Linked DNA regions of Mus musculus. Each later gene encodes a partner of the first gene's protein in a complex. Links are inferred from orthologs where the notes say so. Each region holds a gene or a part of one and is shown in the gene's direction. Other genes may lie near its edges.

Region 1 (3,800 bases):
GATAGAGGATAGAATATGTAGTCTGGGCTACATATGCAGACCTGTTTCAAGTAAAATAACCAACAGAGATGGAGGCCCAAGGCTCAGAGCTTGTTAGTGAAGGGCCCGTCACTAGAACCATGTAGAATCACAGCTTGGGCTTGGAGCCTTGGCCTCAGTGCATGGCTACCGTGCTGCACTGTTTGGCCAGCAAGGGTTGCCTGGCCCATCTGCTATTTCTGCAAAGTGAGGAGATCTGCTGGCTGAGCCCCAGCCATGCAAGATGGATTTGAATTGCACCCGATCCTTCCCTTAGATGGCCATATGTCACCTTAAAGGGCATCTGTCCTTGGTGCCCCCGGAAATGTGAGGGCTCCCCAAAGGGGGAGAATGGTGTATGTGGGGAATCTTATTTTCTTTTTTGTCTTTTCAGACTCCTCCAGGTGCCTCATGCTGGCCTTGTCACAAAGGTAGATTTAAAATTATCAGTCTACTATACCATGAGCTTTTGTCTTAGATGTGTGCATTTGGGTGGGAGGCTATCAGCCCCTGAGCCTGGCCCCCATCCTCAGGGCCTGCCTTCGTTGTTATCTTGAGCCCTTGGGATCCAGACTCCTTCCAAGGGGGTTGAGTTTTAAAAGGGAGCCTCTGAGCTGAGGAGAAAGACAGAGAGTCAAGCCATTTCATAAGCTGGCATCTCCAGGACTCTAGAGGGTACTCTTGGAGATGGGGGTTAGAAGCCTATGATGCTGGGGGTCCTGGAAGAAAGTTCCTTCCCTCTCTGGGCTTCAGTTGTTCAATCTACAAATCAAGGAATCTACATCAAACTTTGTCCGAACCTTCCAGAAACTGCAACTTAAATTTCTTTAACAGCCAGGATGGGGCCCCTCAGCACATTCTCTCTTTCCATGGCAGACCCAGGGTCTATCACAGTGCCTTTTGCTCCCCTCAAAAGTCTGGGCCTGTAGAAGCCCTCCTACTGACCAGCCTTTTTCCTTTCTGTCCTCCCTTCCTCTACCAGCGACTCTCTTGGCAAGAAGAGCTTTGAGGAGTCCCTGACGGTGGAGCTTTGCGGCACGGCAGGTGAGCTAGGGGTTCAGCTGGTGGGGTGCCTGTGGGGAGCTTGCATGACCTGGGCGGGAGTGCATCTCCTCATGAACTGACCACTGCCCCCCTGAACTACTCTAGCATTGAGATGCACCAGGAGCATACTGGGAAGGGGGGTCAGGGCCTGGGGGCCAGCCCTTCACCTGCTGGTACCTGCAGCTGAGGGGCTACTGAGGTCAGAAAACAAAGACACAGCTCTGGAGAAGACCACAGTCTGGTGAGGCTAAACCTTCAGGAGAATGGTTAGCTGTGGGCTCCTGTCTGCTCATTAAGGCAGAAGGTCAGTGAGGCCTGGTCAAATGGTGGAGTGCCCAGGATGGGGCAGTGCCGAGGGGTTGAAGGACCAACAGGCATTGGAAAACAAAGAAGGATGTGTTTAACTGAAGAATTGATATGAGTAAAGACACAAAAGAATGAGAGTACAGGGTGCATCAGGGTTACTGGTCCGATGGTCCTATCTAAAGGCAAGACGTAGGAAGAAAGGAATAACGGTCCCCAAAGGACCAAGGCATAGAGGAGCCTGGCACCCATCCTGTAGGCTTTGGAAGGCATGGAGAGAAAGAAGTGGGTATTTTTTCATGTTCCTGTGGTGTGCTGGGAAGACCAGAAGACAAAGGCAGGTTGAGTAGCATCAGAGACGCCGAATGGTTGGTTTTCCCAATGGCACTGTTTCCTCTGTTCAGGCAGGGCTCTTTAAATGATTGTCAGTAGAGTAGGAACAGATATCTCTGACCTAGACACATTAGCTGCCATTACCAAGTCCCCAAGGGATGCCCATTGACTTCCATCTCATGACAGCTCCTATGAACAGGAGGACCCCTGGGCTACATACAGGCTTAGGCAGCAGTACAGACCAGTTAGTGATTCGAAGCCACCCACCTATAAGGGATCTTGTGACCCACGGCCACTTCTGTGTCCTTGCAAACAGAACTCTTAATGTCCTCCAAGAAGACCTGCCTTTCCCTCACCTGTTTTTTTCCTCTTGCCTGGGCAGGACTCACGCCACCCACCACACCTCCATACAAGCCAATGGAGGAGGACCCCTTCAAGCCAGACACCAAGCTCAGCCCAGGCCAAGACACAGCTCCCAGCCTTCCCTCCCCCGAGGCTCTTCCGCTCACAGCCACCCCAGGAGCTTCCCACAAGCTGCCCAAGAGGCACCCAGAGCGAAGCGAGCTCCTGTCCCATTTGCAGCATGCCACAACCCAACCAGTCTCACAGGCTGGCCAGAAGCGCCCCTTCTCCTGCTCCTTTGGAGACCACGACTACTGCCAGGTGCTCAGGCCAGAGGCTGCCCTGCAGAGGAAGGTGCTGCGGTCCTGGGAGCCAATCGGGGTCCACCTTGAAGACTTGGCCCAGCAGGGTGCCCCTCTGCCAACGGAAACAAAGGCCCCTAGGAGGGAGGCAAACCAGAACTGTGACCCTACCCACAAGGACAGCATGCAGCTAAGAGACCATGAGATCCGTGCCAGTCTCACAAAGCACTTTGGGCTGCTGGAGACTGCTCTGGAAGGTGAAGACCTGGCGTCCTGTAAAAGCCCGGAGTATGACACCGTATTTGAGGACAGCAGCAGCAGCAGTGGCGAGAGTAGCTTCCTGCTTGAGGAGGAGGAGGAAGAGGAGGAGGGAGGGGAAGAGGACGATGAAGGAGAGGACTCAGGGGTCAGCCCTCCCTGCTCTGATCACTGCCCCTACCAGAGCCCACCCAGTAAGGCCAGTCGGCAGCTCTGCTCCCGAAGCCGCTCCAGTTCCGGCTCCTCGTCCTGCAGCTCCTGGTCACCAGCCACCCGGAAGAACTTCAGGTATTCTTGGTGGCCCTGGGGAGAGGGATATCTGAGCAGCCATTAGGTACCAGAGGGGAGGAGCCCCAGGAGTTTGCTTTGAGGCTTAGGTTGCATCTCCGCTTGCAGCCCAGCCTTGGTCAGAAGGCATGAGATGGGCTCCCCAAGACATGGACAATCTGAAGCAAGTGAAGCCCAGCAGGGACCCCACAATCTGGCCCCCTGAGACATTATAGCCTAATGAACTTGACCCTTGTTTCCTCCTGTGTTTGTCAATGGATAGATTTTTATGCGAACATGCATACCTACATACTTGAGAAGCAACATGGTGTTAATGTATAAAGTCAAGCCCAGGGCTGTGGTTTTGATCTGTGTTCTGGAAAACACCCAGACTAAAAGCAGTGCTAGGCTTTACACCTGGGCTTGGTTCTGAATTGCTTACTGCTGTGAACAGACCCTATAAGAGCCCGGGGGTTGGGGGAGGGCGGTGCATCAGGAGCTAGTTTGAGCATCCCATCTGTGAGCACTAGACCTAGAAAGGGGTTTCTTCTATTGCTGTGATTAAAATACCACAACAAAAAGCAGCGTGCAGAGGAAAGGAGTGACTTCATCTTACAACTCTCAGGTCACTCTATCCCCAAGGGAAGACAGGGCAGGGATGCAAGGCAGGAACCTGGAGGCAGATTTGGGGGGAGAGCAGCTTCTGCTTTCTCTCGTCACACCAGGTAATGGGACCAGCTTCGTCCTGGAGAGACTCCAGAAAGATTTGCAAGGGGTGGGCGAGGGTGTCGCAGTTCTGAGCGCGAGGTTACCTGAATGGCCACGAGATGAAACTCTTTAGCCTTGAGCAGAGATGTGGAGTTGTCTGGGGAGCTTGTGAAGCTGCTGGGCTCAGGGGTCTGCTGAGCACCTGAGTGTGTGGGCGTGGGTAAT
Region 2 (4,534 bases), on another chromosome or scaffold:
GTGTGTGTGTGTGTGTGTGTGCTTGTGTGCATGTGAGTTGGTTCTTTCCTTCCACCGTGTGAGTCCCCAGGTTGGAATCCAGGTCATCAGGCTTGGTAGCAAGCACCTTTACCCATTCAACCATCTCCAGGGTCTCAGTTTTGCAAGCTTCGAAGCATAATACAAATAGTAGCTATTTCCTGGCCACTGCGTGCAAGAAAAGGCGAGCTTGCCAGTAGGCAAGTAGGGAATGTTCTGTGGGTGTCTGGCAGGTGGGGCAGAGTTCACCACAGGTATGAGGCTGATCAGCAAAGGTGGGTTTAAAAGACGTCCCTGAATGTGCCTGTAGGGTCTGGTCTCCAGTTCCCAGGGTAAGGAGATGTGCGCTGAAAGTTTCCTTTCCCTAGTAGGCTCTCCTGGGCGCTCATCGCCACAAATAGCATAGTGGCAGGCCCAGCGTGAGGACAGACAGGAGGGCTGGCATAGCACACATTTCGTTCCCAAAGGAGCGGCGTCCTGGGGCGTTGGCACCTCGGGGGGCATGTGCATTCCGTGACTGAAGATCCAAGGACGACACAAGCAAAGCGGCTGCTCTGGGTCGCAGCCTGCTCCCAGTTGCAGCCTCCCGCCTGCGCTGTCAGTTGGCAGAGCCCCAGTGCCTGAGCTGGACACAGTCAGCCCCTCAACCCCTGAAGCGTATGCAGAGGGGCCACAGCCCGGGGCGGGGCAGAGGCGGAGGGTGGGTCAGAGCGGCCGCGCCTCCCTGCGACCGTCCTCGATGCCCTTCAGCCTCTGCCTTCCCCGCCCGCCACACCCACCCTGGCACCTTGGCCACCTGTTGCCGCGTGCCCCAGCTCGCTCTTCCTTTCTCCCCATTTCTCATCCTGGGACTCTAAAGATCAGATTCCGCCTGTCCGTCCACCTCCCCACGAACTCCCGGGACTCGGGGAACAAGCTGTGCGATCTAGACCAGCTCAACGAGGGCACCCGGAGGAAAGCTCAACCCAGACCCGCAGCCTTGAACTTCAGTCCTGGCCGGTGCGCGGGGCTGGGAGCAGGAGGGAGTGCGCGCCAAGGCGCACCCTTCCCACCGACTGTTCTCCCCCGTCGGGTGACCTTGGGCAGTCCCTTCACCTAACCCGCCTCAGTTTACCAACGGATGCCCGGGCCCCGAGGCACTAAATGGGCATCGAGGAGAGCTGCCCCGGGCCTCTTAGGCCCCGCCCTCCCCCGCAGCAGCCAATCAGACACTGCCGTCCAGGGGGTGTGTCTCGCCCTGAGCCGGGGCCCGGGCCTAGGGGGCGGAGTTTCCGGGGCGGTCACCTCGCCGCGGGACCCCGCAGGGGACGTCCGAGGGGCGGCGCGTGTCGTGGGGGCGCGGCTGGCACGGGCGCGCGTAGGCGGTGCCGGGCCGGGGCCCCGGACGCTACGGTCCCACGACAGGGGTGACGGGGGCGGAGGCAGCCGCTTACGCCCCTCCTGGCGCCTCCTCCTGGGCGCGCTTGGCCCTGCGGACCCGCAGGCGGAGTGCAGCCTCAGGTGCCCAGGGGCTGGAGGGCACGCGCGAGGGCGGGGAGCCAGGCGTCCCCTGTCCCGGGACAGTGAGGTGGGTGGACAGGGAGGGGAGGGGCTCGGTGGCGCATGCGCGCGGACTAGGGGCGCGGGTCTGGAGACCCACAGCCACTGGAGAGGGCACACGCTAGGAAGGGCACACGCGTGCGAGTTTTCAGGGCCCGCGGAACTGTCCGCCACTTCGAGTCCCCTGGAGCGCCGTGCGCCGGCTCCGAACATTGGTGTTCGCAGCTGTTTTGGGGGCTGGAGGGTTCGTGGAGTCCTGGAACTGGAGCGACGCTGGGTCCTCTGGTTGTCCCCTGGAGGGGAGGGCACACGGGCGGGGACATCGGGGCGCTCCCTTCTCACGGCGTGGTGCATTTGGGCGTATCTCACCGGGAGGCGTTTCCTGAGACCCTCGGGGAACTTAGAGGAGAGGTAACTGGAGGCTCCCTGACAGACTGATTCTGGGGTCACAGCCTAGGCTTTGCTGGGGACCTGAGAAACGCTGCCGGTGGGTTTGAGTCAACAGCAGCGGACCCTCTTTGAACACTAGTTTCCTCATTGCTCCTGATCGTAGTGGGGCGATGTTGGCCCCAACAGTAGGGTAGAGACGATGCCAAAGTTACCCTATGTCTCTGCCCTCCAGAGGCCAGTGCCACAGCGGGTCCTGTGTGGGGCCAGCTTTAGTCTCCTCTGTGCAGTGGCTGCGCGGCTGGCCTGATATGGGTAAAGGGAGCCGGGAGTGCCCGTGTGCTAGTCCGGAGGGTGACTCTGCCCCAATATCCACTCCAACTAGCCTGAAATAACTGCACCTCTCCTTTTCCCAAACTTTTTTTTTTTTAATTTAAAGGAGAGAATGTTCAGATACTAAAGAAAATCTACGGTGGTATATAATGTCTTTGGGGGCACTCTGCCACTGGGGTGCTCACGGGCCCCCAACCCCAACCTACTCCCTTCCTCTAAGGAAAGCAGAAAGGCTCCTTGGGGGAGGAGCACGGAACTTTCTTGGGCGACCCTGGGACACTGTAGTGGTTGCAGGCAACAGGGTCACAGTGACTTTCCCAAGGTGGTGGAGAGTTGGGGGAGATCCAGAGAACATATTGTAACCGGTTCCTTCTTTAACGTTCTACAGCCAAGTTGAAGTTCAAGGCCCTGCCTTCCCTGTGAACTGACGTTTGTGGCTGGTCAAGTTCGGGAACAAGACGTTGTCATCACAGGTAAAGAGGATTAATGGACGGCTTCCAGACTGGAATATTGTAAACGCTGTCTTTGGTTGCACTTCAGACTAGCAACAGGGCTTGGATAGTGGTTATTTTGTGGTGGAATAGTAAATGTCTTTTCAGGGCTCAGGAAGCCAGGTAAATGGGTAGTCCATGTTTCAGTTCTGGGAAAGTGCGTTTGCTTCATGGGAACCGCATTTCTTTATGGCAGGCTGCGTCGGCGTAGTTTAAAAAGGTGGTATTGCGTTAGAAATGGTGTTACTTGACTGGCTTATAAACTGGCTCATAAGACCGTCTCTTGGCTGTCTTCATATCAATTCAATGAAGTAGTCGGTTAGTTTCATCATTAGCCAGGCAGGGATGGCCCCCAAGAAGCAGCTAGAAGGGTATGACTTGGTGACCATATGAAAATCCAGAGCCAGTGGGACATGAACTGAGAGTGGAAAGCAAAGTGTCTCCTTTCCAACCTCTTAAACATGCATGGAAACACTCCAGACTCATAGTTTGTCAGGAGGGTAGGAGCCTGCGATGTAACCCATGCTAGCCTGGAACTTGCTATGTAGCAGAGGCTAGCTAGCCTTGAATTCTTTATATTCCCACCTCAGGCTCCCAAGTACTGAAAGCTGAAGTAGTTCTTTTTAACTTATGTTTGTCAAGCCTATAAACAGAGTTTATGTGTGTATATGTGTGTGCATGTATCAATGTGTGTTTGTATGTGTGTATGTGTCTAGGTGTGTATGCTATGTGTATGTGTGTAAAGGGTGGGAAGAGAATGAGAGAAGAGAAAGCATGTTTCTATTTTGTTTTATTAACTATTAAGTTGAGAAAAATATTTCCATGTGAATGTAAAAAACAATGTATTTTTGCTTCAACTGCCTGTCTAATAACTCACTAGGTTTAGATATAGTATTTAGCCAATGCATATATAGACATACGTTAGTATATAACTCATGCTTATTGCATAGCTTCCTGGGGTGGGGGCTACTGAGCCACCCATAAACAAGACAGCCATGGACTTGCTCATGAGACTGAGTTCCATGCTAGAATTATAAGAAACTTGAAGCCAGATGGTGGAGGCACACGCCTTTAATCCCAGCACTCAGGAGGCAGAAGCAGGTGTATCTCTGAATTGGAGGCCAGCCTGGTCTACAGAGTGAGTTAGTTCCCCAATAGCTAGGGCTACACAGAGAAACCCTGTCTGGGGGGGGGGGAGAAGAAAGAAAGCAAGAAAGGAAGGAAGGAAGGAAGGAAGGAAGGAAGGAAGGAAGGAAGGAAGGAAGGAAGGAAGGAAGGAAGGAGAAAAAAGAAAGGAAGAAAGGAAGAAAAGAAGGAAGGAAGGAAGGAAGGAAGGAAGAAAGAAAGAAAGAAAGAAAGAAAGAAAGAAAGAAAGAAAGAAAGAAAGAAAGAAAGGAAGAAAGGAAGAAAGGAAGAAAGGAAGAAAGGAAGAAAGGAAGAAAGGAAGAAAGGAAGAAAGGAAGAAAGGAAGAAAGGAAGAAAGGAAGAAAGGAAGAAAGGAAGAAAGGAAGAAAGGAAGAAAGAAAGAAAGAAAGAAAGAAAGAAAGAAAGAAAGAAAGAAAGAAAGAAAGAAAGTAAGTTAGTTGAAGGCTAGGGCTCTAGTTCAGTTGGAGGAGTGCTTGCCTGGCATGCACAAGGCTATTGGTTTGATCCTCAGCGCCTCATAAACCAGGTGCGCTGGGGCCCATGCTCATAATCCCAGGACTGGGGAGACAGAGGCAGGAAAGACAAAAGCATATGATAAGTTTGAGGCTGTGCCAGGCTAC

Evidence for each region.
Region 2: the proteins of Ppargc1b (region 1) and Ppara are in contact, whole or in part, in a crystal structure (PDB 3SP6), measured with the Homo sapiens proteins. The link is inferred for Mus musculus from reciprocal best matches to the Homo sapiens genes PPARGC1B and PPARA. Residues at the interface, in NP_573570.3 of Homo sapiens: Ser154, Leu155, Leu156, Gln157, Leu159, Leu160, Leu161, Thr163; in NP_001001928.1 of Homo sapiens: Val284, Thr285, Thr288, Glu289, Lys292, Phe297, Leu302, Asn303, Gln305, Val306, Leu309, Pro458, Leu459, Glu462, Ile463.

The regions. Positions count from the first base shown.
Region 1 is NC_000084.6:61,306,295-61,310,094, reverse strand, and holds part of Ppargc1b (peroxisome proliferator-activated receptor gamma coactivator 1-beta), read left to right. Parts: intron 1-412; coding exon 413-449; intron 450-1,000; coding exon 1,001-1,062; intron 1,063-2,080; coding exon 2,081-2,888; intron 2,889-3,800. UniProt on the Homo sapiens protein: Plays a role of stimulator of transcription factors and nuclear receptors activities. Activates transcriptional activity of estrogen receptor alpha, nuclear respiratory factor 1 (NRF1) and glucocorticoid receptor in the presence of glucocorticoids.
Region 2 is NC_000081.6:85,734,129-85,738,662, forward strand, and holds the start of Ppara (peroxisome proliferator-activated receptor alpha), read left to right. Parts: upstream 1-1,647; 5' UTR 1,648-1,968; exon of another isoform or gene 1,969-2,044; intron 2,045-2,065; exon of another isoform or gene 2,066-2,259; intron 2,260-2,665; 5' UTR 2,666-2,750; intron 2,751-4,534. UniProt on the Homo sapiens protein: Ligand-activated transcription factor. Key regulator of lipid metabolism. Activated by the endogenous ligand 1-palmitoyl-2-oleoyl-sn-glycerol-3-phosphocholine (16:0/18:1-GPC). Activated by oleylethanolamide, a naturally occurring lipid that regulates satiety.